Linked DNA regions of Mytilus edulis. The protein of the gene in region 4 interacts with the protein of the main gene of each other region in a biochemical or structural test. Links are inferred from orthologs where the notes say so. Each region holds a gene or a part of one and is shown on either strand. Other genes may lie near its edges.

Region 1 (7,337 bases), on a different chromosome or scaffold from region 4:
AGGAAAAATGGAAAACAATGTTGATTTCATTAGAAGTATGAAAGCTTCTGTCAATGAGGATGTATTAAATAAGGTGGATGACTTCCTCCAACGTTTTATTTGGGTTGTGGATTCAAGTCTTTGAATACAGGGGAGATAGTCCATTGTCACTTTATGTAAATATTCAACTGCTTCAAGAAGTTGGTCTGTTTCACTTGGCTGTATAGAAAAGTAGTTCCAGAACTGTGGACCAACTTTTTGTCGCAAATCTTCTTGTAAAGTATCCAGAAACCATTCCTCTATGATGTGTCCTAAATCTTGCTTGCATAGAATTTCAACAGCATTCTGGAATTCAACTTCTGAACTGATATATGCCTGGGAAGTCTGAAAAATTCAAATAAATAAAGTAAGATAAAGGTTGAATATATATGACACCCTTGTATCAACTCAAAACTTTTTCATTTCAAATAGTAATGTAATTGTTTTTTACATTGAATTTTTTTCCACAGATTGCTCGCAAACTAAACAACTTTTAGATCTGTGCCAGTCTGAACATATATTTTGCATATGTAACAACCATTTTTCCATTGTGGCTTCAGATATTTTGTATTATGATGCCAAAATTTTAATGAAGCCTTAAGTGATAAGGTGTATAACAGGTAACAATTAAAATTACAATGTATGTACATTGTCATAATAAATTTGTAGCTACATCATAGTATGTGTACATAAAGGGAGCCCACAACCCCTGGGTCCCCATAATTCAACTATGACATGTATGATGTGTTAAATAGAAAGAATACCAAACTATAATTTTAGGGTCATATATCCTAGACCATATCGCTGTAAAGAACGATTACATTATGATATATTTAACACACACATATGGCAATATTATTGAACGTCAAGTAAACAATAACACCAGAGGACTTAAAGTATCAATTAGCAACAAACGGGTGAGTCTTTTCACCACCGAACACCCCAAAAACCACCAACCACTATGAGAAACTGTGATATTATACAATAAAACGATAAAACAAATTATTAATCACTTATAATTAAACAATTTGTAGATTTTTATAGGCATCATTTTTGTGTTAAAATCGATAATCAATACAAGGAAAAATGTCTCTGGATTCATCACCTTCCAGATTACATTGTGTATTTTATTAAAATGATAAAATTCAAATGTATTCATAATAAGTAATAAGTTGAAGTATCTTCGATCTCTGTTCTCGGTTAGATTTTGACATAAGTCTCTTTTCTTATTAGGCCAATTAAAATTAATTGATAGATTTTCATCCCAGCCGCCCCTCTGAAATCGTCCCGCCCCGATTTTTTTTATTTAAAAAATTTACGATTTCCGAATTTTTTTCATGTCCGTTACCGGTAACCATTTATAATTTCGTTGCATTCAAACTTCCTGTTTCAAATTTTGGTGTTGTATTCCTTCAAGTTATCTCAAATGATTAAGTCGGCATATTCTGCTGCTCTATGATGACATCATTATCTACCGAGAATAGAGATTGAATACGAGAAAGGCATGAAATATTCGGATTACGAGTAAAAAGCTGTGTCTAAGAACGCAAATGGCAGTGTGTCACAAATGATTAGAAAACTGTTTTTATTTTTATTTATACAATTACTTTGTGTCAGAAAATTGGACTGTGAATGATATCCAAAGGGCATATCCAAAGGGCAAGAGTCATGGAACACATTGGTACAAAATCATGAAGGGATTAAAGAAATTGACATAAGCACTAACTTGTTAGATTTATGACCGTATGTAATTGAGCTAAAACAAAAGTCTACAATCATACGCATGTCATTACAGCAAGCCTTTACATTTACCTTATATGGCTGTCGTTTTTTGTTGATAAACAGCAAACACCCTCTGTCCCAATACCCTCAATATATTTATTAAACAACAACTTCTTTTTGGTTAAGTTCATGATTTACAATATCTTGCTCTAGCACCAAACCTATTACTTTCAACACTGTTTGAGTTTTCATTTTATTCTGTACTCATAATACATGTGTTGCCTACATTTGTACTACTACACACAATGGCTTAGAAAGCAAAATGAATTTGGTGTTGGTATAGTCCAACTGAAGAGAGCATTTCTCATGTTTCTCTACATTTTTTATGTTTATATATAGGCCAGTTTCTAAAGCTGTAATTACATGTATAACAGTGGTTGCCAATCAGAGATATTTATTCAAGAGTTTGAAAAATTATGTACATGATATAAGCTTATTTAACACTTGCCTATACGCCCTGCGGTATTAATAACTGGACACAAGAGGGTTTCGTATGAAATAAAATTTAAAAAATAAAATCCTCCCACCCACCCCAGTTTTTTTTTAAAATCTGGATGTAAATCTACTAATTAATTTTAGTTGGCCTTATTGGTACAACTATTATAGAGATAGAAGAAGAAGAAACAATTAATATTTGAACTCTAAATCTTGTGATTTGTTGAATTAATAACTTGAAAGTTATATTTAAGTCACATTTATAACGTTAAAAGACAAAATAATAAACTTTTGGGGTGTTCAGTGGTGTTTGGCGGTGTGTGGTGGTGAAACGACCTACCGGCAACAAACCACAGTACAAACATTAATTTTTTGTGGAAACAACTATTCACTGGAACCAACAAGTTGTGCATGCATGTTCTGTAGAAGCATTTAAGACCGCTCTACAAGAACACTGCCCATAACAACAGCACTCTTCTCCACCGTGTATAAAAGCCTAAAAAGGATTCTACACGTACCACTACAGATACAGACAGATTTATATTTTAGAAAACAAACCCCAACCATAACCAGATCTAAACCAGATAACACCGGCTCTTACCCCCGAAACCTTACCAACACCGTAAAGTAAATTGACCCCTAAGTAAAAGGATGGCAAATATTTTAACTCTAAAAAGAATTGCTACTTTTTTTTCTCCAGGTGTCAAAGTGTCTGTTAAAACAGTCCAAGCTCTGTTTACAAGTTCAACATTTGCCGCCATCTTGGCTTATTGACCAATCTGGGTAAAAATTATTGCTACGGCTCCGGGAACGGTTTGGAATACAAAAAAAAGTTAAAAATAGTTTTCAACTTCTGAATTTTCGATTTCAATGTAACAAACAGTTATCATTACTGATTTTCATATGTCTGGAAATAGAAAATTTCATCATATGTCTGGAAAGAGAAAATTTCATCATATTGTCTGGAAGAGAAAATTTCAAGGAGTGGTGTACTTGCCGTGTGATTTTTTTTATTGATATCTATACTATATTTTCCACCTGCAAACTTTTTTTTTTAATTCAAAATAAAGTTTAAAAAATACCAACTTATATAAAAACAAGAGTGCACACACTGAAATGTCTCCCCTTCTTTACTTATCATTGATATTATGTTGATAGACCTAAGTATAAAGCTTTATTACAACTGTCACATAAACTAAACATTAACCAAGATAACTAAACGAGACCAATAAACCACGAAAATGAGTTCAAGGTCAGATGGACCATGCCGGGCAGACATGTACAGCTAACAATGCTGCCATACAACAAATATAGTTAACCTATTACTTATAGTTTAAGAAAAATAGACCAAAACACAAAAACGTAACACTGTACAATGAACCGTGAAATTGAGGTCACGCTCAAATAAAACAAGCCCAACTGAAATAAAGATCATAAAATATTTCAATACACCAAATATATGGTTGACCTATGGCATATAGTATTAGATAAAAGGACCAAAACTCAAAAACTAAACTTTGACTACTGAACCATGAAAATGAGGTCAAGGTCAGATGACATCTGCCCGCTAGACATGTACACCTTACAATCATTCCATACAACAAATATATTAGACCTATTGCATAAAGTATGAGGAAAACAGACCAAAACACAAAAACTTAACTATAACCACCGAACCATGAAAATGAGGTCAAGGTCAGATGACACCTGCCAAAGTTCTATCAGAAAATACACTATTTCCGAGTTGTTGAAAAAAATATGTATCAGTTGAAATATTATAAATCTATTCTTTTAAATGAAAATTCACATTATAAGTGATCTGCATTCCTCACCAAATTTTGCTAATTTGATTGAAAATCTAGACCTTAGGTTCTCCGTTATATACAATCCAAAATGGCGAAGATCCCCATATCACCTGAATTAGTTGTAAGGAGATGTGGTATGGGTGCCAATGAGACAACTACCCATCCTAGTCACAATTTGTAAAAGGAAATTATTATTGGTCAAAGTACTGTCTTCAACACGGAGCATTGGCTCACACCGAACAGCAAGCTATAAAGGGTCCAAAAAATGACTAGTGTAAAACCATTCAAACGGGAAAATCAATGGTCCAATCTATATATAAAAACGAGAAACGAGAAACGAGAAACTCCTATGAAACACATCATTCGGAGAAGACGCTACTAAGTTGTAAAACTTGTGTCTGATCCTTATGTCATTTTGAACAATAAAATATGTTTAAATTAACACATCAACAAACGACATAATCTGAACATCAAATTCCTGACTTAGAACAGATGCAAACAAAGGCAGCGGGTTTAAACTTTTAAATAGGTACCAACCTTCACCTTTATCTGAAACAAAAGTGTAACATCACAACATAGGAAGACACACTAAAATATCAATTAAAATGGCCTAACACAATAAAAAGACAAATTAACACAGGTTAAAACAAACACTGAACGAATAATTTGAACTATGATACAATGTAAAGCCAATAGTAACCAATTTGACGCTAATGGTAGCCGAAAACAAGCCTGGGAGCATTCATACCCTCGTAAATAACAGGAAACAGCTGTACTCGCAAGAGAAAGAACTGCCAGGTATATATGGGTCGGAATTGTCATTGTAATGCTAACTTGTATTTGTAGTATTTGTATTTTTATTCATCTGATGAGTTAAGCCTTTTTCAACTGATTTTTATAGTTCGTTCTTATGTTGTACTGTTACACCACTGTCCCATGTTAGAAGAGGATTGGGATCCCCGGCGCTAACATGTTTAACCCCGCCACATTATGTATGTATGTGCCTGTCCCAAGTCAGGAACCTGTAATTCAGTGGTTGTACATGTCGTTTGTTTATGTGTTATATATTTTTTGTACATAAATTAGGCCGTTAGTTTCTCGTTTGAATTATTTTACATAGTCATTTCGGAGCCTTTTATAGCTGACTATGCAGTATGGACCTTGCTCATTGTTGAATGCTGTACGGTGACCAATGGTTGTTAATTTCAGTGTTATTCGGTCGCTTGTGGAGAGTTGTCTAATTGGCAATCATACCACATCTTCTTTTTTATATATCGTGTTATGATAGTTTATTTGAAGTAGCCTGGGATCCGGCCCAATCTAGCTGCGCGTCATACTGACAAGATTAGCCAGGACCCCAGGCTATATTTGAAGCTGATTGGTATAAACTTTATCGACGACTAATAGAAATTCCGGCGGCGTTGGTCTTCTTTCCATCATATAAACAACAGATATTCCGTCCAGCAGATAACATGTAAGACAATAGAGGTGAACTTAAATCATAATAAATAGTTGGTAGTGTATTAACCTTTAGTGCACGCCTGCAAATACTTTTTCCGAATAGTTTTTTTTAATTACTGTATAAGATGTTATCATTTTTAAATGTGATAATGAGCTTGGTAATTTTAACCTTGACATGTTATATTCTGACAAATGTCAACCTTTATGTGATCTCTGGAATAGTTTTGATAAAGATCAATTAGCAAAAGATCCAACTTGTTTTAAAAAAGATTGCAGACTAACTTTATTTCATTTATTTATGTCGTTTTGGCGATAAAAAATAATTATATAACCCGCCGCAATACATTTTTCTAACTTGTCATGATAAGTGACTGCCATGATCTGGTTTCTACCGCTGTAAAGAGTCAGTTGCTTGCACAGCAACAAAAACTAGAGGCTCTAAAGAGCCTGTGTCGCTCACCTTGGTCTATGTGAGTATTAAACAAAGGACGCAGATGGATTCATGACAAAATTGTGTTTTTGTGATGGTGATGTGTTTGTACATCTTACTTTACTGAACATTCTTACTGCTTACAATTATCTCTATTTATAATCAGTGGCGGATCCAGGGGGAGGGGGGGTTCCGGGGGTGCGCACCCCCCCTTATTTTTGCCGATCAATGCATTTGTATCGGGACATATGTTTTGAACCCCCCCCCCCCCCCTTTGCCCTGGGTTCCCTGGGTTCCCTGGGTTAGCACCCCCCCCCCTTTCGAAAATTCCTGCATCCGCCCCTGATAATGAACTTGGCCCAGTAGTTTCAGAGGAGAAGATTTTTGTAAAAGATAACTAAGATTTACGAAAAATGGTTAAAAATTGACTATAAAGGGCAATAACTCCTAAAGGGGTTAACTGATCATTTCAATCATGTTGACTTATTTGTAAATCTTACTTTGCTCAACATTATTGCTGTTTACAGTTTATCTCTATCTATAATAATATTCAAGATAATAACCAAAAACAGCAAAATTTCCTTAAAATTACCAATTCAGGGGCAGCAACCCAACAACAGGTTGTCCGATTCATCTGAAAATTTCAGGGCAGATAGATCTTGACCTGATAATCAATTTTATTCCTATCAGATTTGCTCTAAATGCTTTGGTTTTTGAGTCATGAGCCAAAAACTGCATTTTACCCCTATGTTCTATTTTTAGCTGTGGCGGCCATCTTGGTTGGTTGGCCGGGTCACGCCACACATTTTTTAAACTAGATACCCTAATGATGATTGTGGACAAGTTTGGTTAAATTTGTCTCGGTAGTTTCAGAGGAGAAGATTTTTGTACAAGATAACAAAACTTCACGAAAAATTGTCAAAAAATGACTATAAAGGGCAATAACTCCTTAAGGGGTCAACTGACCATTTTGGTCATGTTGACTTTTTTGTAGATCTTACTTTGCTGAACATTATTGCTATTTACAGTTTATCTCTATCTATAATTATATTCAAGATAATAACCAAAAACGGTGAAATTTCCTAAAAATGACCTATTTTGGGGCAGCAACCCAACAACGGGTTGTCTGATTTATCTGAAAATTTCAGGGCAGATAGATCTTGACCTGATAAACAATTTTACCCCGTCAGATTTGCTCTAAATGCTTTGGTTTTTGAGTTATAAGCCAAAAACTGCATTTTACCCCTATGTTCTATTTTTAGCCATGGCGGCCATCTTGGTTGGTTGGCGGAGTCACGCCACACATTTTTAAACTAGATACCCCAATGATGATTGTGGCCAAGTTTGGTTTAATTTGGCCCAGCAGTTTCAGAGGAGAAGATTTTTGTAAAAGTTAACGACGACGG
Region 2 (7,905 bases), on a different chromosome or scaffold from region 4:
GTTCACTACTAATGTCACAATCCAGTATGATGTTGTTTGTAGAATAAAAGTGTCAATCCAAATGCTGTGAATACTAATGACTATCAATGTCTATGTCCAAGTTTTAATTATGAGAGTTTAACTTTAGTGTCTGTATATATAGTGTTGTCATGGAAAATTCTAGAACACTCTATAATGGAACATTGTGGAAAATCCTGGAAAGTTACAACGGAAGTTTCTGGAATAACGTAGAAGTTTAAATTACGCATCTTTTATAAGGATCATTCTAGAAAGTTCCAATCATTCTGTGATTGTTCCAGTGATTCCTAAACTGCACAGTTATAAGATTATTTGGTAAACAACTATCAGGCCATACAACACAAATTAGGCCAACATAAATAAACATAATAATTACAATATCATAACAACATCTATATCATGCATATTAATGTTTAGTAGTTCTAGCACTTTGATATATTGTTCTCGGAGAGATTTCAAGAGAGACATTCTTTCAGCTTCTAAAGGTGTACATGAAATCAGAAAATGTGAAATGGTTTCATCCTCTTTACCGCAAACTCTGCAGACGGCAGAAACATCATTTTGATTAAATTTTGCTCTATTTGTCTGTAAGATGTAATTGCCAGTTGCAAATCTGGTCCTAATGGGTAATTTGATTATGTCTCTACAATTTGATGTATTTGTTGTAAGAATTGGATGTATTCTTTTTGCCATATATTCACCAGATATGTATTTTAAGCTGGAGTATTTCTCTGATTCTTTATTAATTTTGTCATTCCAATAGGTATGTATTTTTTTGGTGATTAAACTTTTCCATTGCAATTTTCCTAAAGGGTTATTTAAAAAATCCTGACAGTCCAAAATGTCATATTTCAAACATATTTTCTTGATTTGGATGAACCAGCTATTACTTTGGTTTGTCTTTAAATGTAGTTGTCTTTCTGCTAGTCTCCATTCAATGGTAGATCTATCTGCTCTTGTAATATTTCCGTATAGAGATGTAGTTAGCCTCCATAGGTAGAGATCCACTTAAAATGTATACCGCAGGATCAGCTGTATTTTTGGCTAATGACAGCTATCATTCTAACCAATTTTCTAACCAAGTTATTACCGTATCACCATATTACCAGACAAACACAAACGAAAGACTAATACTTTTTAACTCAGGATAAAGGTTAATATTAATTAGCATGATTAGCTCGGTGGGTTTTTTCTAATCATGTTTTAATTTTTACCTAAATTGCCTAATTCTTACAAAGACTGGCACTTAAATAGCATGATTAGCTCGGTGGGTTTTTTCTGATCATGTTTTAATTTTTACCTAAATTGCCTGATTCTTACAAAGACTGGCACTTAATTAAATATATATTGATGGAGGTGAAAGAAAAGTGAATATTTAGCGAATTTAACTTTACTCGATTATGGTATTATTGTACTGGTGGAGATTTATTGAATACACCGACTGTGGAGGTGTGCCTAGAGTGGCAGAAGTTATAAAATACATTTACAGATACAGATTCTGCTTCTGCTTCTCTGCTTCTGCCAGATAATGGCCACAATCAACGAACTGATTATACTGCCATGGTTTGGTGCGCATATTAGACCACCCCCCTCCCCCCAAAAATTTTGAAATTTAATTCAGCTTTGTCATAGAGGCTTTGAAGGCCTCGACTGACGGAGCTGATACGACCCCAGGGGGAAGAGCGTTCCAATCCCGGATGGTTCTTGGGAAGAATGAATGTTTTCTATAGTCACAGGATGCTGCTGGTACTTGGAAGGATTTGTCATGCATGTTTCGTGACAGTCTTTTCGGTGGTATTAGACGACCTTCCTTTGATATGGCCACTTTGTTGTTTTCTATTTTGAATAGCATTGTGAGTCTCGCTTCTTTCCTTCTTTGATCAAGTGATGTCCATTTGAGATGTTGTAGCATCAGATTAACGCTGGAGTGGTTATGATGTTTGTTGGATACGTAGCGAGCTCCTCTTCTTTGTACCATTTCAAGTCTGTCTGTCTCTGTCTTAAGATATGGATCCCATACCGGACTGGCATATTCTACAATTGGACGTACTAATGTTTTATATGCATTCTCCTTCACTGTAGTTGATCCTATATTTAAGTTTCTTTTTAGGAAACCAATTGTTCGATTTGCCTTGTTACATATGTTATTAACATGCTCATTCCATCTGAGATCGGATGTAAATGTGCAGCCTAGGTATTTTGCACTACTGACTGACTCAAGAATTTGACCATGTAGGCTGTATGATGTTGCAATTGTTTTGTTTTTCCTGCTGATGGTAAGTACATTGCATTTGTCAGGGTGGAATGACATTTTCCATTTTGATTCCCATATTCCGAGTTTATCCAGATCTAGCTGTAAATCGTGTGCATCTTTGTCTGATGATATCGTGAGGTATGCTATTGTGTCATCTGCGAATAGTCGGACTGTAGATTTAATTCCATCTGGCATGTCGTTAATGTAGAACAGGAATAGTGAAGGCCCAAGTACTGATCCTTGGGGTACTCCTGACTCTACATCAATATGAGATGAACTTTCTCCATCCACAACTACTGCTTGGGTTCGATTAGACAGGAAGCTAGCAATCCACTTATTCACATTTCCTCGGATACCATAGTGTTCCAGCTTATGCATCAGGAGACTGTGACCAACCTTATCAAAAGCTTTTGAAAAGTCCATAATGAGTACATCTGTTTGCTTACCTGCGCTCATGTTGTTGGTGATATCATCCACAAATTCAATCAGCTGGGTTTCGCATGATCTTTTGCTACGAAATCCGTGTTGTAATGGATATAGAATGTTGTGGAGATCTGCATGTTTCATAATATGACTAGTTATTATGTGTTCCATGAGTTTACAGCAGATGCATGTCAGAGATATTGGTCGATAATTCTCTGCCTTGTATCTCTCTCCTTTCTTGAAGACTGGACTTACGTTGGCGTTCTTCCAGTCAGATGGTACTTCCCCAGTATTAAGTGATGTTGTAAAGATGATAGTTAGAATTGGGGCTATCTCAGTTGCAAGTTCTTTTAGTATTCTTGGTTTTAGATTGTCTGGTCCTGAAGCTTTATTTGGATTTATTTTTGTAAGTAGTTTCAGTACTCCATTTTCTGTAATAATTAGATCCTCAGCAGAAGGGTATTGACCTGGCATGTTACAGCGAGATTTGAATTTTTCTGGACTATATGTTTCCTTGGAGGAGAATGCAGACTGAAACTGCTTATTCAGAATTGTAGCTTGGTCCACAGGATGCGAGTGTAGTACTCCGTCACTACGTAGTGGTGCCACGCCGCTGCTATCAGTCTTCATATGTTTAATATAAGTCCAGAAGCGTTTCATATTGCTGTGTTGTTGGGTTTCTTCTTGAGGTGTTACTATGTTTTCTATATACTTCCAATATGCACGACGTAGTTCTTTCTGTACTTTTTGCCTGGCTTCTTTGAATTTGGATGTTATCTTAGGATCCACTGACTTTTTCTTTCTTTTGTATAGTCTGTCACGGCGGCGTATTAGTTTACGTACATTTGGTGTTAGCCAAGGAAGGCTATCTTTCTGTTTTGCTATCTTGTGCGGGATATGGTTTATTACACTTTGGTTGACCTGGGTTTTGAATAATAACCAGAGTTCTTCCGCTGAACTTCCATTTGAGGCTAGATTTCTGATCTTTTCGTGGGTTTGGATCATTTCCTCTTTGATGGTTTCCCAGTTTGCCTTCCTGTATAAGGGGATGTTCCGTGGTTTTTGTTTTCTAGTTAAAGGCTTGGTGTCTATTTCGCTGAAGACAATGTCGTGGTCTGAAACCCCAGGTATAACTTTGGTGCGTGTGAAGCGTGTTGGATTGTTCGTAATCACTAGGTCTAGCGTGTTAGGGCCTCTTGTTGGTTCCTCCACTAGTTGAACAAGTCCATTGTCGTCAAGAATGTCGCCAAACTTGTAGTGGTTTTTCTGACATGTTGATTCTGGTTTCAGGGTTCTTGTTATCCAGTTCCAGCCAGGGAGGTTAAAGTCGCCACCAACAATTATAAAGGCATTCTTTGTAGCGTTTACTTTTTCAAGACTTCGCCCAAGTTCTTCAATGCTTTCCTCATTTGATGTTTTAGGGTTGTAGTAGGATGCAAGATACAAGTCTTTACTACCAGCTAGACTGATTTTAGCCCAAACAATCTCGCAGTTTGTGTGTAGCTCAGGTACAGGTGTGCTTAGATGGTCATGATTTATTGCTATTAGCACCCCGCCTCCTTTCATGTTGCGGTCATTTCTGTAGATGTTATAATTTGGTGGAAAAATCTGGTTATCTTTTACAGATGAATCTATCCAGGTTTCTGTTCCTAGGACAATATCTGGTTTGGTGCTTTCAACTAAGTTCTTAATTAGTCCTTGCTTTGATTTGATGGACTGAAAATTTACTGTAAGCATCTTAATAGGTACACTTTTTGGACTTTTATCCTGCTTCTTTCTGTCTGGTGTTGATGCGTGAATAGGTTTGATACAGTCAGATGGAAGTGGACTCTGGAGAGATGTATCTGATAAAATGCTAAATGAATTTGAAGTGGATAATACTATGTCAAAGCAAACTGAGCTGTAATTAGGACAGTCACAGATAAGGCAGTCCCAAGCTATTGCACTGTCCTCTACTAAGATGTTGTATGTTCGAGAGCTGACTGATTGACAGGTGGTATGGTACCACTGGTTACAAGTATCACACATGATACCTTTGTCTTCCCATGTAACAGGTTCGTCACATGTTCCACATAGAAATAATGTTGTGTCTGGACCTGGATTTAGGTTTATATCGTTTGCCATGATTAGTAGCATGGATAAATATGCAAGATGATATGTTTGTTTTCCATGTGTTTCATATGAAAATCCATTTTTATTTTTTGCGAGAAAAAACGTGAAATCAACACTTTACAGAAAATATAAAATGTCCGATGAAATGGAAGTAGATCGCGAAACTGCTAAGAAACCAGAGAAAATGTTCACTCTTAAGAAATGGAATTTAGTTGCTATGTGGAGCTGGGATGTTGAGTGTGATACTTGTGCAATTTGTCGTGTCCAAGTCATGGGTAGGATACATATATCTGACAGAAAAGTCGCAATATTTTGATATGACACAACAACAACAAAAATTATTGAATCTAATTCTTTTAAATATAAGTGTGAGTTCGTGGTCTAGTGGTTAAGACCGATGGCTACAGTGCTGAAGGTCCCGAGTTCGATTCTCACTCGGGGTGCTAAAAATCTCAGTACATTAGAAGGGTAATTTTCACCCTCTCACACACATCTCTGGTACCCAGACCGGAGTTTAAACTAGAATGGGTACGTTGGGGGCCTCGGTTGGTCAAAGTGTCCCTACTTTGACCTGGAGATCAATCTTCTGATATCTCTCTGGTTTGTCTGTTTCCACCGAGTGGCCCGGTGGTTCTCTCCGAGTACTTCGGCTTCCTCCACCACAATAACAGACTTCCCGGTGTCCTAGCACTCCCTTTGTGTTGAATTGGGTGGGGATTGGTTGTCCTTGTAAAAATAATTGTCGTATAAATATACGTTAGTGACACATCTCCATTAATCCCGTTAGGGAGTGTACATGGATGCCACTGTACCCTCGCAGCTTTCGAGGGGTTCTTCGGATATCGGAGGCATTTACCAGTACATACATACATAGTACATTACACTTTGAACACAGCCGGATATTTTCGACCAGATAGAATCTTCAACAAACCATATTCACATATTGTTAGGGGGGAAAGGGGATTACTGGACTAATCACTATGGTATCAAGAATAAACAGGTTGGGAACGGTATCAGGTTCGTTTGCGCCCAATACACTTTCGCACCCTACACGTTCGCATCCAAGGTCCGTTCGCACTCTACACGTTCTCGCCGAATTTTAATTCAAATTCCAGGTGAATAATTGGAAAATCATGATTGTTGTTATAAATTGCTTTGTTGTAAGTAAAACATTCAAGATTTTAAATGAAAAACACAAAAGATAATTGTTTTTAACAGCTTGGTGCCTTTGATCTGAAACAATAAAATATCCCCGAGGAACCAGTAATGACGCACCTAACGTTGTGTTTGTCTCTGCATTTAATCTACCATTTAAAAGAAAAAGAAACACGGAATAGAATGAAAGATTGATCACTTGTTAATGTATTTCAATCATTAAACAGTTGATTTTTGAAACAGTAAAAGCAATAAAAATCATGTTTGCTAACATTACAAACGGACTGTCAACTTATGATGGGTACCAGTAATGACGCACTATAAACAAACCAGTAAAAACCACTTGCAGTGTACCTGATGTTCGAAAAATTGCTTCAATCCGGATAATTTAAAGTTAACACTATTCAACAAATTTAATTTTAATAACAAATTTTGACATTTACAGTCACTTTTATGATCATGTTGATAGCAACACAATTTTTTTCATTAATTTAATTGTAACCTATATTTTATTTCAAATTTTATATAAAATTGTTCAAAATTTATCAAAGTGACATATATATTCCATATACTTGAAAATAAGAAGTAATTGCATTCATAAAACAACATTGACATTAAAACATTTATCAATGTATACTTCGTACAATGAATGAAAAAAATCGATAAACAATAGAAAATTATATAAGCGACGATCATTTGTTCTACAGTGATTCCCGCTTAAATGTAAAACCATGTCACATGACAGTCATATGATTTGAAAAACACAAACTGGGGCAGCATGTGCATACATACTTTTGCCGGCCAAAGTGGATTTAGGACTGATAATCATTCTGGGAAGGGTAGACTGTTTTTGACCTTAATAAAATGGCAGAAATTGCATTATCTTTACTAATTCAAGCAATAATAACATTTCTGGACAGAGTTTGAGGCATCTATGTTGTAGTCATATGACCTTCACCATCATGTTATGAATAGTAATTATCGATGACGTCACTTCTTTTGTTTAGAAATATAAAACCCAAAACTAAATTGGTGCGTCATTTCTGGTCCGCGTCAAAACAGGTACCAAGACGATATAGCAATACACTATTATAACCAAACATGATAAAATTTATTCAACACACAAACAAAACGTAGTCAGAATTTAACTTTATTTTGAAACAAGTCAATGGAACAAAGTTATAGCAATACACTAACCAAAACATGATGAAGAGTTATTCAACACAAAATAAAACGTTGACAGAATCCCACTTTATTTAGAAAGGATTTTTTTTTTAACAATACATGTACACTATCCAAAACATGATTAAGATTTATTCAACACAAAAAAAAAATGCTGTCTCACTTTATTTTGAGACAATGACAACAAATATAAGAATACACTTGCCAAAACTTGATTACAAAGCTATAGTTATTGAACACAAAACCAGTTAAAATTGGGCGCGAACATGTAGGGTGCGAACAGACTTTGGGTGCGAACATGTAGGGTGCAAACATGAGTAGGTGTGAACGTGAATGGGCGCGAACGGACCCGGATTTGTTGGGAACAAACCCTCTATATGGTGATTATACCTGTATAGAGGGATAATCCTTCTATAGAGGGTACAATTATCTCTCTATAGAGGGGTATTTTTGTTTAGACTGGATTTAAATCAAAATAGGACAGAATGGCATTCTCTACATGTTATATCTGTTCTAATCATTAAAGTTGGAGTTATCTTCTTTTTCCATAATTATAACTAATTGGACAACCATTAAAGCTATCTTTACCCTTCAATGCTTACAAGTACTCTGATTAAAATATTGAGATGATTGACAATTATGAAAATGGAATCCAAAATGATACAGTTTTGGGTTCTACACATATTAGACATGGTTGGGCCTACAGTGATGTAATATGGACCGCATGGCTCCCTGTTGAAGGCCGTACCTTGCCTACAACG
Region 3 (7,517 bases), on a different chromosome or scaffold from region 4:
GCAGAAAAGAAGAGAGAAAAAAACGTGTTTCTTTGTGTATCGTTTTTCTTGCAATAATTCATTCCGTTTATTTTTCATTAATTTTTCAAATGAAATAATTTTTTAGTTGAAATAAAAATAATTGCAATACACGAACTATATTTATTAAATTATAAGATGATTTAATCAACTTCATGATTGGATTACAATAAATCATGATTAATAGACAAAGATGTTTGACAATACACACAAGCCCACGACACGAGACTGTTTTGACAATGGACTCGTGCCTAAACTAGAAACTCAAATTAATTACTCTATGATGTCATTACCCTGACGTTTCTCAATTTCAGGTGTCACTAGAAGAGCTATATAACCAATCCTTTCCAAAGAATCATCAGAACTTGTTTCAACTCTTATAGTGCTAACAACTACTACATATTCTTTATTAATCATGAAAGCTAAAGTACAAATGAGAAACCTCAACAAGAGGACCAAATTGGTTGAGAGCGAACGTCGATTCAAGAGAGCCTGTGAACAGATTGTCCAATTGAACTACTCTTTAGACGCACTTCAAAAGAGGTACAACAGAGCCAAGACTGACAACAACAAGTCTTTCAGATACTCGCTACGTCTACGCATAGCAGTTGTTGATGGAATGCGCAACATGTACTACGACTACGCTCACCAGAAAGCAGAATCCGTAGCCGAACTGAGACAAGAACTGTTTGGTGAAGTTGTCGACATTATTTCAGAAGATTCTTCAGCAGACATTGAGATGTATGACTAGAGGAAAAGCACCAGACTTCTTCAAAAAACGGTTCTTTTCAGAGCCACACACATTTTTCAAAAAGAATCTGAATTTGTTGTCATTAGTTTAGTTTATCTATAGTTCTGTTTCCATATATTATAACTGCAGCCCTTTTCCTTCCCGACTGAAAAAAAAAACAACAAAAAAAACAACAAAAATACCAAAAAAAAAAAGAGGCTTAAATCCATAACTTTTCTATAAAAAAATGAATGCGTACACCTTATCTTGAAGTGCAACAGGCTATTTTATAAGAAATTGCGTACACCTTATTTTTGTAGCAGGCTTCAAATTTCGAACGTGTTTTTTGGGGGTTAATTTTCAAGTTTGAAAAATAAATAAATCAATGAACTTGGCATAAAATAATGATGAAAGTAATGTTTCGAACAAAATCCCCTTTTATTAGCTCATAAGACTAGCAGTTATTTGTGGAATGATTGGATGATCTCCCTTTGTTTAAGACGCCATGGACAAGCACCGGGAGATTTTAGAATATAAAGTACCAAATGTTGGCCAAATTGCCGGCAATGCTATTTTTAGCAATTATGTCCTCAAATGGCTCTTTGAATAAACTTTTTATGGAAAAACATCTGTTGTCTTATTGGAGGTCGATATCTACTTGTGATTTAATTGAAATTAAATATATATATGATCCCATGGTGATTTGTTTTTTTACGATACCTTACGATTTCGCAAAAAATTTTCCTTAATTTGGAACAGCATAAAAAAACATTTCTGGCCCTGATCATATACATTTGAGGTCAATTTTGAGCTTGCATGAAACTTTCTTCAAAATGCTTTTCAGAAGAAAAATATATAAATGATGTAACAACCAATCACAGAAAGCCATCTATTTTTATCTCTATGTCATGTTCCCTTCACAAATGGCTGCGCCCATGTAATTTTATTTATGACATTGTTACCATAAATGGGATACGATTTTTTTCATAAGTTTAAGCTTTTCAAAAAGATTACTTTAACATTAGCGAATATGTAGTTTATAGGAATTGATATTTTATAACGCAGGCACTATATAGTAGCCAATAAATATAGTATTACTCTTTTAGCTTTACATTAAAAAAAAAGTTGTACACCTAGATACATGACAGCGATGATAATACTTAAACCATCAGAATACAGGGCCGTAACTAGGGTTCGAATTCAGGGGAGGCAGGGATTTGGGGGCCGCCGATTGAGGCCCCCTAGATCCGCCGATTTTTTTTTCTCTCTCAGTTAAAATGGCTAAAAATTACCCGTTTTCCTTCGATTTCCTTACTTTAAGAAACATCAGTATTGCTGGATCCTTGAAGCAATTTTATGCAAACAATTATTATCTGTATTTAAAGATATTTTTGTAAGAAATCAAACTGGTAAGTTAAAAAAACATATAAAGCAAGATCATAGAACGCAAGATATTTTTTTTTTATCGAGAACCTTGAATTTCAATATTGTTGAAAGCTGGACAGACATGTATAAACTACAACCAGGGACTTTCTATACTAGTATATACTTAGTATAGAAAGTCCCTGCTACAACGAATGGGAGTGTTAACTAAGTAACTAAGGCATTGACCATAATGTTCTAGTATGATCGGGAGATGTTAAAAAAATTATCCAACAGCTGATTCAGCCGGTAACGAATTTCCGATATCATTAAAGAATCACAATACAAAGTGAATTTCCTCTGCTTAATTGAGCCCCTAAATAAATGTGAATAGTAAGGTTTTATTCAAAATTGTCGAAAGCAAAATTTCATATGTGTTCTCGTACGAATACTGAATAACAGACGGACGGCCACACGAAAAAATAAAAATAAAACATACTGAAACGGTTCACAATCAATCAAAAATCCAGACAATGACAGATATAATTATCATGAATCATGATAACACTGTTAAAACTGTAAACTTGTGTTGTTTATGATATAAATTCAAGTTTTTCTTGTACATATTGTCAATATTTCATTTTATTACTTTAAAAAAAAAATGGTGCAGAAAATTCAGGGGAGGCAGTTGCCTCATAGGTAGTTACGGCCCTGGAATAAGAACATATATGCTACGCCAGTGAATTGAATGTGGTTTATCATGTGCAGACCCAATCATCTTGGTTTAGTTTATAACTACGTAGGCATTGACTTTCGATAAAATGAAATATCTATATATAATTTTACCAACACTGCGTTGATATGTAGTCTCAAACACCGCACTGCTCCTGTTGAGTGAACTTTCCGATATAGAAACGACAAGGACACGGACGTGTGCGTATGATAACAATAAAAAAAAATTAGATAATTTAATTACAGAGAAGGTTATCCGTTCAGATATTTTTACTCTATTTTAATTACAATTTTAAGAAAAGGTGGTCTAGATTTTTGTATATGTATTTGCGGTCTTCTCGATGAATTAACACTCAATGTTAGCATCCGTTTAAATTCGCCTAATAACTTGACTTAACTTCAGCATAGCAATCAGTTCAGCGACTCTTGTTTTGGTACTTTTGGCCAAATTGCTCTGATTTAGTCCAACAGAGGTATACAACCAGCAATAAAGACATGAAGAATTGAAAGAAGTCAGAGACATATAATATAATACAAATGTCTCTGATAAAGTTAATTTGGTATTCCCAGATTTATTCGCATATCGGCATATAGTATACCAACATTTTGAACCAATTTTACACAAAGCTCATTATAAAGTTGATTGATTGTTGGTTGCCTGTAAAGGGGAGTAGTATGTATCAATTTAAAGTATATATTTTTAAAATAAGACAAAAAGTCCTTCAATATACTAAAATTCTAGACTAAAGCAAATTGATTATTTACAAATAAAAATCAACAGTAAGATAACGTTATAAAAATTAAAAACGACTTAAATATAATAACATTTTTATATTCTATAATAAATTCCAATTTCTTTGAAAAATGCAACAATATTTGTAAATGGAACATTATTAAATAAATCATACATATTATTGACATTGAAATGCTTCTTACGAATATCAGTATAGTCAATACAATTAATTAAAACATGTTTAATAGTATACTTGCAGTTGCAAGATACACATTGTGGTTCATCTTCATTTTTTAAAAGATACTCGTGTGTTATTCTAGTATGACCAATACGACATCTAGAAATAACACACTGATCTTTTCTGCACATAAAATTATTAAAAGGTTTGCCTAAATTAGCTTTAATTTCATGTTATTTATTATCATCTTTTTTACTCCATTCATTTTTCAAAATATTAAAAACATATTCTCTAATATTAGATTTAAAATCAGTATATGGTATATCACAGTTAGATAAAGGGTCACCCAGGGCATGCTTTGCCTCATTTTAAAGTCTACTGTCCTTGTTTTTTTTCTGTTTTAGTAAAGCAAATGATAATATTAATATGGAAATTTTATTTTAATCTAAATCTATTTTTATTGTACTTATCTATTAAAACAAGTAGATTTATAATTATTATAATTAGGTTTTTGTGAATCTTGCTAAATTACATAAAATTAAAATGATCAGTTTTATTTTTGAAAAAGTTATCCCGTCGCAATTATGAAATCATTGCAATAACCTGTGGTCGATTTTGATGAAAATTTTGAAAAGTTGAAACTGTTTGAGAAGCAAAAACCTTGAATTATGTTATTCGAGGTGTTGACTGAGGGTGTTGACACGTGTAGGTCCTTGTTTTACTTTCGTTTTCTCCTTTGGCCTCAAATTTGCATATTTCCCAGAATTCCCGGGGAGTGACATAGAAACAGGAAGTACTTTGTATGTCAGAAATATTATTGGAAATCACCGTAATCGTTGACTCATTTCTTTTGATAGTGTCTTTGTTCGAGACTTTTCGATAGCAATTTTCATATTGTTATTTATTTAAGATCCAACATAGAAGACTTATAATTCATCGGGTAGAAGAAAATCTGTCAAATATCATCGAAACTGAAGAAAGCCGCTCATGCAAGTCGGATGTTCATGTTGTGAACCCACTTGTTGGTTTGTTCATATATTATTATTTAATCTCGTTTATAGAATGATCTTCATACTGTTTTATTGTACATAGTTGTAACATTTTTTTTCTTTCTGGAATCATGTCATTTTAAAATTATGAAACTTGGCCTGTCAAAAAATTTATTTTGGGTGTTAACTGAGGTAAAGGCCCGAGTGATCGTTCTTCCGCACGTGTAGGCTTCCGTAACCTCCGCCATTTTTGTGGCGCTGAAACTCGTCTGCAACTTCAAAATCATCTTAGTTCCTTTAGATTTCCTTTAAATTTAGATTTAGACAGGTATTTCAGTTACAGCAAAGACCAAATTGTATTAAAAATCTTTGATTTATGCTTGAAATTACTCTGCAGTTGTATTTTCTTTGTGTTTTACCAGATGTCCAGTTGCACGGATTCTGAGGGTCCTCCTGCCAAGAAACAGAGACAAAATAACACAGAAAATAATAGTGAAAATTCCGCTTCAAACTCTGTAAAAGAAGTGAGTATATTTCAAAAGACGAAAAATAGCTTTCCGTTAAATATGCATGGATCAATAATTTCCTGAAAGTGAGCGAGATTTTTTTATATTTTACTTTCAGAGAAGCTTTTAAAATTAGTATAGACTGTCATTTGGAGTCAGTCATGTATTAGTTAAGAAATTGATGAGGACACAAATAGTTTTCTATATAACTTTTTAATTGTGTGAAATATTGCACCAAATCATGCAGGATTGATGATTGTATCAGTTTTGAAAGTGTATCAAAATATGGTGGGCTAAAGTAAAAAAGAAAGGATCCTTCCATATGAGCCCCACAACGATCTTACAGGTATCTTACAGGTAGAGACCACTTTTAAAAAACACTATCATTGTATCAAGTTGATAGTGATCATTAAAAGGGTTGACAGCTAGTTTCTACATAGGATTTTATGCATGTGCACAGAATACTAAAAATTATTATAATGTTTTAAGCTAGTGTACCCTCGTGTCGAATGTACCATGCATACATTTTTGTAATAGCATCATGAGCTCCATACACCAATTTTGAGTTCAGCAACATCAAAAGTTTTACTCTGACTTGCATGAACCTCATTTTTGAAGTTGTTAACTTATTGTCAGTATTTACCATATACATGATATAAAAACAATCTCTTAGTCTGAAACTAAAAATTGGAAGACAGTTCATTCAGTTGCAAACACACTTGATTTTGGTGAATTTTACTTGATTGAATTGATAGCCTACAAACATTTGAAGATGGAGCCTTTGTTTTTCAGTGCATTGCAATTGGCGAATCCAAATTGGGGAAGAGGGGTGTTCCCTTGAATGGAACTCCACTCCCCTTTTACCATTTTTTTTTTTTAAAATATGAACATTTCAAATGTTTCATGATGTTGCAGGAGTTAAAACTCCCTGGCAAAATGTTGGGATCTGTTCCTGCAGTGCAACATGTAGAATATAGAACACTTTTAACTTTGCATGTCCTTTACAGCTCATTGATTAGGCCAAAACAAAGTTACTTGTTTCCTGCCTACTTCAGAAAAAATAGTAGTAGATAGGTACATGTAAAAATTAAATTTTTAGTCCCCTACCGAAGAAGAAGTAGAATGTAATGATTGAATCTTATTTTTGTTGATAGGGATTTACAATGGGATCAAAGCCAGTAAAGGTACTTTTGCCCTTTATATCACTGCAGCACTGTCATGACTGGGTGGCAAAATGGAAAAAAAATAAAACTTTTATCTTTGTTTTCTGTTTTCTTCAAAATCTTATTTTGAACATGCTGAATTTTCATTTTGTACCCATCCAGCTTCTGTATTTAGTGTGCTTCTTTGGTGCTTTTCCTCATGAGAACCGTATTATGAAAACAACAAAGAATCTTAACATTTCCAGCTACTAGTCTGAATCAGAAATTCCAACATTTTCACTAAATAAGTAAACATAATTTCGTTAAATGATCACTAGCCTGAGTCAATTTATACAAGAGTTGGCCATGGTGCTTGGTTAAAGGCACAGACTGTCTGTTGTTATCCTAGAATAAATGGCTAGGACATATGTTGTTACTCATTTCAATAACCTTTTCATCACTTACTAAAAATTGTCTTGATATTTTTCTCTCTGCCTACATCATGTACAGATAATGGTCTGATCTATGTCCTAATTGGAATAAATAGGGATACTAATACAACAGGGGTGTAAACTATTTGTGTAAAGATTTATCAGTCAGAAAATGGATGAACGGGATGATTCATACATTATGTACAGATGCCTTATGCAGTGTTTAAGCTAGGATTTTGAGGGCTTTAGTCACTTTTGCGCGCTATTAAAATCAACCTTATTTCGTGTAAAAGCAATGGACGAATGATGTATATTACTAGCTTCATCTTTTGACTTAGTCAGATTTTTAAGGGATTGAGGCACCAGCAGGATTGGCAGTTATTGTATGATTTGACTGTATTGGCCATTATTATGAAAGATTCTGACATGGAATCCAGAAATTTAGTTCACAATTTCTCTTCAGTTTGTTCCAGGGGGTCATTCCTCAACAAAAGTTGGATTCTATTTTTTTTAAACAAGGAATCACAGCAAAAATTAATTTGCAATGATTATTTCACTGCATAATCATTATCCTTATAAAACGTCTCGGCCAATAATTTAAAATCATTTCTATCAAGTTGGAAATGTATAAAATCCTTTTTGGAACGATTATCATGACTGAAAGGAGGTTGTAAACAAATCAACAATTGATCACGT
Region 4 (7,163 bases):
GTATTTATTAATGAAAATTGTCAAGCCAAATATTACAATGTTACATAAAGTTCAAAAAATCACCTTCAAGAGGGATTATCATATAAACACACAATGTTAGTAGTATACTTACCATCTAGATGACATCAAAGTTGGACCAACCATAGGGACAAGGAAGTCAATCAGGATTATAGCCAATCCAATCAAAGAAAAAGTTGTCAAAATGGAGGGTTGAAAATACCAAATCAGGCTGAAAAAACAGAAAGAGTCAATGCATTATACATGTAAAACAACAGATAAAAATTCAATTGTACCCTGATCATGGTGTTTTGATATGGAAAAGTTTGGCATTACCACACATCCAACTAAGGTTCATACTATTTGAAAAACATGAAAGGGGAAACAACTCAATTAACTATTTTTTTTTTTTTAATTTCAAAAAGAATTGTGTGATGGTTTCTGGGCTTTGTGATGTGATGGACCCCAAAATCAGATTTTGTAAGATCTTCTTTATAGAAGCTTGTAAACAGCAAATGCTAATGACTATGATGAGAATATAATAATAAATAAATAGTTGATACAACACAGGTTTGTGTGTACATGTACATACATTTGTTTTGCCTGAATTTTTCAAAAACAATGCTGAATAACTTCATTTTTGGTAAAGACCTCAACCATTGTCAACATTGATAACTTGTATATTTTACCTTTTAGTTATTGTCAAATATTTTTTAATCACAATATGGTTAATGTTTCATGTGAAGGTCAACTCATTTTCTTGTTAAATACTATACCAGAAGTGGAAATGACACTTTGATCTGCCAATGTACAAAACCAAGTCAAACTGAGGGGCAGTAATGGCCCAGTGTTCAAGTTGTTACTACTGTAATCACTAGCCAGTCAACACTTAGGTTGTGAGTTTAAAACCCCAATCATGCAGATTTACTGGAATCAAATATTAATTGATTAAGGATTGTTAGGTGTTTTTTCCCTGGCTTCCTCCACCAATATAAACTGGCAGCCATGAAATAGCCAAAAAAGCGATGCTTATAAGTGGCGATATAACACCAAAAATCAAATCATATCAAACCAAGTCACACTGAATTTACAAACTTACAAGAAGACAAATGTACTGAGACCAACAATAATTGGTGGATGGTATGGCTTTTCCCAGTTAATTAATCCATTTAGAGGCAACAACACTTCTTTCCATCCTTCCAAATCTTTTTTTATTCTTTCCAATCTAGCACTTTTATTCTGCTCCTGAAATAGAAACAAACAAGTTAAATGAGAACCATTAATATAATTGTTGTTTTAACAACCCCTAATTTAATATTTTCAAGTATTTGCAAGTCAAAAAATTGAAATATATGTTTGCCTGTCCCAAGTCAGGAGCCTGTAATTAAGTTGTTGTCTGTTGTTGATGTACATATCATACTATATATACGTATATAAATCAGGAAGTCAGTTGTCTCATTTGAATCTTTTTTCATTTGTAATTTCTGGACCTTTAATATGGGGACGAAGTCCCCTATTACAGTAGAAAATTCAATAAAAAAAAAAATCGGGAAAATTTCCCGAATTTTTCATTGTACTAATGAACTCAAAATCGTTCAATTTTTTTTTGTCGCGTTTTTTTAATTTCCGGATCTGCGCAGAACACATAACTCTACTTCCTTCTTCCGGTCTTGTTGTTGTGAGACTTTGATTAGTCTAGTAAAATATAGGAACTCAAGGAACACAATACTAAATATATATTTCATTTTTAATCATTCTTTGTCTTTGGACGGGTATGAATAAACGTTACCTGATGCATTGCGTTTCTTTGTTTACATTGAACATGACGTCATAACTTAAATAACGTCACAAGTAAAATCCCTAACAACAGAACCAAAATCGGAAACGTTACGGTATTTCCGTTTCTTTTTTTAACAAATATTTTAAAAGTTACAAAAATTAATTTAAATAAACTTCGTCCCCATTCACAGGTACATGTAATGCCTGCCTCATATTAGCTGGCTATGTGATATGTGTTTTGCTCATTATTATAGTCCATACAGTGACCTACCAAGTCATTTGGTCTCTGGTGGCAGTTGTGTCATTGCCAATTATACCACATTTTTTTATTTTTATATAATTTGCAATAATAAATGAGTTAACACATTTTTCATGTTTACAGTAAGGTTAAAAATTGTATCTATTGAAAGACCCTAGAGGCTTGTGAATACATGTAGGCAGTATTTGAATATTAATATAACATCCAATTGAAATTTCTCTTGTCCATTAAATTGTACTTTAATGAATAGAGACTAGTATATTAAGACTTACTAAAAAGACAAACATTTTTACTTTAATTACAATAAGTAGCTTTTTTATATTAAATATATATTTTTTACAGTAAACAAAGAGGTACACGAAAAATCTTTTTATTTAAGAATTGAATGTTTCTTTTTGTAACTTCATTGGGGTGTAAAATGTCCTATAATATATGCCTTCGCATTATATATTCACTATTTAACGTTTTCATGCTGATATTTTCATTTATTATTTTTGGTGTAAAAGTGTTGACAGAAGAACATTTTGTATGAGGCGTGGAAGCCTACAGATTGCACGAAAGCAATAGTACATGTACATGTATCCAAAAAATCACCCCTCTTGTGAAATGTGAAAAGTGGGGCGTTTAGGTGGGTACAAGTCAAATCGGCACCTGGTCAAATCGGCACCCATAGAAAAAGTCAAATCGGCACCTATTTAAAGTCAATTCGGCATCCAATAATATTTGATATAATATATGGGACTGGGACCATTATGCTAAGATAGTAATTTAAGTATACTAGCATAATAGTCGCAAATATATATAGATATTTCTAAAAATGTATAAATTCGATCATGATTTATTTTGTTAAAAAGCATCAAGCTGTAAAAATACAAAAGTTGATCATTTAAAGTTTTCTCAACATTATGTGACTGATGTTTTCATGGTTTTGATAAATTTTCTTTTCAATTAATAAATAACTTTAATCAAGTACATAGTGAAAACACAATGTAACACCAGCTTTTGTTTCGCATATTTCTGTCATATTTTCACAACTATATGATATAATCTAATAGCGAGAATTAATACACAAACATAATTAGACCACAAAAAGACTTTTTATGGATATATGTCATATGTGGTATCAGGAGAAATTAAAATTCGAATGTAAACTATTCAGGTATCCTCATTTCCATTGTGAGGACAAGGATAATAGCATGAAATGTTAGGTTAAAGTATATAAATTTGAATTTAAAGATTGAACTAGAACATTTTTAAAGATAAACTTGTATCACCTGGTGTAAGAAAATGTGTGTCAAAAAACTTATAACTTGTACAAAAACCCTGTACAAATTATAAATTGTACAAAGTTATATTTTGTACACATCATATATTAAACAAATTTAACATGGGTGCCGAATTGACTACATCAAGTGCCGATTTAACCAGGTGCCAATTTGACTAGGTGCCGATTTGACTATACTGGGTGCCGATTTGACCAAGTGCCGATTTAACCAGGTGCCGATTTGACTAGAATTCGTTTAGGTTGGGGGGGGGGCTTAGTCATGGATTCTAATGGTCCTTGTTTATCTTTGTCTAAAAATTGACATGAAGACAGTTACCTATACATTATGGACAAAAAGTACCCATTCAGTTATTTTAAACATGCTGAAAGGCATTCACAATTTTGAAGATAACTTGTACTGCAAAAATGAAAGTGGTATAAAACAGCAATAATCTGAAGTTAGTTTTCTGCAACCAGTCACAGAGCATTATGCAAATCTTATATATTATCGATTTAACTGTGCTCCCTATTTTTTATCAGTGTTTCCTATAACAATTAGCATGGTAAGTGCACTTCTTTACCATTTCGTTTCCCATATCATTAAATTCCGCCATCTCAGATTTGTTTATAATGAGCATTGCATTCGGAGGACGTTGACTCACAAGGTGTTCCGTATAAAACTTATTGTTCTCTAGACTTATCCATCTCAAATTTTTAATAATAATTTTTCTGTTTTTTAAATAAGAAAATGATATTTCATTAAGCAACAATATTGTCTTTATTTCTATCTGTTTTGTTATTATTTTATCGTACCACTAATTTTCTCAAAATTTGAATTAAATTCAAACTACATCTCGTGTAAACGAGACTTCATATTTTAATTCGAAATTGGGTCAAGCAAAATTCTGACGTTTTGAATTATTCTGAAAGGATATTCGCATTATACAGAAATATCTTAACTTATTTTGGACAGAATAACTCAAAAATAATGTCGAACGTAAGTGGTATATGCTGCAATCCAATTTTCTCACAGTTTAATTCAAGGAATTCGACATATTTTTACAAGAATGGATTTGTTTTCATCCAAACTGATTCACAAAAAAAAAATACACAGATTTTTCGTTGATCTTCCAAGAAATAATTTTTATCTTATTCTGAACTCATTATCTAGGTTTCTAGTTAAAAGAGAGGAAATAATACCATGACAAGAGTAAAAACGTTATATTGCGTAATTGCAAGTAAAAGGGGAAGCGACAGTGAAACAAATGTACCACCCCCCTTTTTAGTTACAAACATAGCCTAGGGCATGTAGAGGTAGGTTCGAGACGGGTACTGTCGCAAGACCACTGGATACCTAGTATCTACACCACATGTCTCTATTTCCAGTCATTTTAGTTTTATATTCCTCATTAATCAGTTAATTGTTAGGTTTATCAACATGTAACTTTTATTGTAACTTATTTTTAAAGTCTCTTAGACTTTACAAGTTACATTCTTAGGGTAAAGGGTCTGTTCGCTCCCGAAGCCATAGGCAAAAAACACATTCACATGCTACATTTATTCACATCACATGTTGGGTCTGTTCTCTCCCAAAGGCAAAACAAATTCATACCCTCCTGTATACCTAACATGTTACCACCCTTTTCTATTCAAATACCTGTAGACTAAAGAGATGTTTTTCAGACATATTCATAAATACATATTAACAATTAAACATAAAGCTTAAATAGTTCACAATTCAAAAATTTATAAATAAAAAGACCAGATATTAAGGGACAGCTGCTAATTAATGCACTGCTGGAATTAAGAAAAATATTAAGGCGCTGCAGGACCACAGCGTCATATCGGCATGAGGAGAACACTATAAGTATACCCTGTGTTGAACAGGTTGGGGACAACCCACCAAATGGGGAACTATTTCCCAAATGAGTAACACTCCCTCATTTGAGTAATCATTTGGTAGTGCTAAAAAACAAAATTTTCTTATTAATAACTGATTCTTTTTTCTTTAAATGGCACATATTCAGGAAAAATGCATCAACTTTTCCAAAAGATGATTATCCTTATCTTGAATTACTGGGAAGATACAAGCCTATGAAAAATCAGAAAATTTAACTTTTCAAGGCTTTTAACTTTTTAAAAACCCATAACAGAAATATAATTCTTTGGGAGAAGTTGTTCCATTTTCTATAAATTTGTGCCATTTTACCTTTTAAAAACATGTTAAAAAAGACCCATTTTTAGAAAATTTATTTTTCTGCACTATGAAATGATAACTCAAATGAGGGATTGTTACTCATTTGGGAAATAGTTCCCCATTTGGTGGGTTGTCCCCAACCTGTTGAAGGCCCTACCTTGACCTACATTTGTATAATGGTTTACTTTTATAAATTGTTACTTGGATGGAGAGTTGTCTCATTTGCACTCATACCACATCTTCCTATATCTATAAATATATATAGTTTTATCATTATGTTTAGTAGTCAATACAGTAGTTTTGAATATTTGATAAATAGCCTGCTGTCCTGCTGTTTAATCCATATCGCGCAACTTTGATGCGCACCCTTTATCGCATACCCTTTATCAATGTTTATCACACCCTTACCTTTTATCGCATACCCTTTATCACACCCCTACTTTTTTTCTTTTTTTCTACATAGTCAGTTTTTATTTTTGTAAGCTTAAGAAAAAAATTTCCTCAAAATAGGTACGGTCATTTGGCGTAACAATTTATTGAATGACGTCATTGTTCGGTATGTACATGTGACGTCACAAACGTCAAGTTTTCATATTTTTTGTCACACTAAATGCAACTATAAAAAATACAATGATTATTATAATAAACAAAATATTTTTAAATTATAAGGTAACCAAGGTGCTTTGGATAAGTAATTGAGCAGTTCTTTTAAGGCTTTTTAAACAAGACAAAAGTAGAACTGAAGGAAGCCTAAAGGCCTTTGGGCTGATATTGGTGTCTCGGGATGATACGACATATGATACGGATTTTTCCATGTATTATTCTCTATGTTACTTGGATGGAGAGTTGTCTCATTTCTTCTTTTAATACAGAGTCTGACTCTTCTTGAGTGTATAATGACTCTTGCTCGTAAAATCATGAGGCCTTCCCTCCTCAATTATTAAAACCAGCAGTAATTATTTACAGTAATTATTATTTACAAATTAAAACTATAAACATCTGGGATCTACAGAGTTCTAGGTGTGAGAAGCTCCTGTCAAGGCCTCTGGCAGGATGGTAAGGCTGACCTTGAACTCTTCTAATGTAGTGTGTTCCATTCCCTGGTTGGTGTTGGGAAGGAGTACCTGTACTGGTGTTTTAGAGTACATGTATGCTGTTGGTTTATGCGCTGGCCTCCTCTGATCTGTAAATCTCTGGGTTTGTATAAGTTTAAGGGGTCAATATCTACCAATCTATTGGTGATTTTGTAGGCCATGGTGAGGCGGTCTTCCCCTGAGGCACCCCTGAGGGGGTTGGATTTATGACCTTCGAGTAATACAGATTGTGTTTTCTTGCTTAGGAAAAGTTAGGAAGTCTTGTATCCACCTGAGTGTTACTCTACGTATTCTGTAGTAGTCAATTTTTTGGAGGAGTCTCTTGTGGGGCACTGTGTCATTGGCTTTGGAGAAATTAAGCAGGATGATTGGGAGTAGAATTAATGAACATGTACATTGTACATGTAGCCCAAACATATACTTTTGTGTATAATGAAATTTTGATGATATTTTCCCTTTATCATGTTTATACATGTTATAGGACAATGTAGGACATGTAGGAATGTTCAAGTTGTCAATTTTAAAATTCTTAATTATATAAATGTACATTGGGTGTGCTCATTGTTGAAGGCT

The links.
Region 1: the proteins of ubiquitin-conjugating enzyme E2 S-like (region 4) and anaphase-promoting complex subunit 2-like form a complex in vitro, tested with the Homo sapiens proteins (3 studies listed by BioGRID and IntAct). The link is inferred for Mytilus edulis from reciprocal best matches to the Homo sapiens genes UBE2S and ANAPC2.
Region 2: the proteins of ubiquitin-conjugating enzyme E2 S-like (region 4) and RING-box protein 2-like form a complex in vitro, tested with the Homo sapiens proteins (3 studies listed by BioGRID). The link is inferred for Mytilus edulis from reciprocal best matches to the Homo sapiens genes UBE2S and RNF7.
Region 3: of the proteins of ubiquitin-conjugating enzyme E2 S-like (region 4) and ubiquitin-like modifier-activating enzyme 1, one has a biochemical effect on the other in vitro, tested with the Homo sapiens proteins (8 studies listed by BioGRID, with this or other methods). The link is inferred for Mytilus edulis from reciprocal best matches to the Homo sapiens genes UBE2S and UBA1.

Annotation. Positions count from the first base shown.
Region 1 is NC_092345.1:6,933,862-6,941,198, reverse strand, and holds the start of anaphase-promoting complex subunit 2-like, read right to left. Parts: upstream 3,026-7,337; 5' UTR 2,997-3,025; coding exon 2,922-2,996; intron 2,792-2,921; exon of another isoform or gene 2,754-2,791; intron 364-2,753; coding exon 1-363. UniProt on the Homo sapiens protein: Together with the RING-H2 protein ANAPC11, constitutes the catalytic component of the anaphase promoting complex/cyclosome (APC/C), a cell cycle-regulated E3 ubiquitin ligase that controls progression through mitosis and the G1 phase of the cell cycle.
Region 2 is NC_092346.1:93,273,775-93,281,679, reverse strand, and holds the start of RING-box protein 2-like, read left to right. Parts: upstream 1-4,902; 5' UTR 4,903-4,940; coding exon 4,941-5,082; intron 5,083-7,905. UniProt on the Homo sapiens protein: Catalytic component of multiple cullin-5-RING E3 ubiquitin-protein ligase complexes (ECS complexes), which mediate the ubiquitination and subsequent proteasomal degradation of target proteins.
Region 3 is NC_092344.1:46,512,404-46,519,920, forward strand, and holds the start of ubiquitin-like modifier-activating enzyme 1, read left to right. Parts: upstream 1-4,514; 5' UTR 4,515-4,778; intron 4,779-4,945; exon of another isoform or gene 4,946-5,070; intron 5,071-5,164; coding exon 5,165-5,266; intron 5,267-6,402; coding exon 6,403-6,432; intron 6,433-7,517. UniProt on the Homo sapiens protein: Catalyzes the first step in ubiquitin conjugation to mark cellular proteins for degradation through the ubiquitin-proteasome system.
Region 4 is NC_092352.1:76,826,633-76,833,795, reverse strand, and holds the start of ubiquitin-conjugating enzyme E2 S-like, read left to right. Parts: upstream 1-4,163; 5' UTR 4,164-4,287; coding exon 4,288-4,296; intron 4,297-7,163. Other genes in the region: ADP-ribosylation factor-like protein 6-interacting protein 1, read right to left, coding at 113-229, 1,097-1,242, 3,881-3,937. UniProt on the Homo sapiens protein: Accepts ubiquitin from the E1 complex and catalyzes its covalent attachment to other proteins. Catalyzes 'Lys-11'-linked polyubiquitination.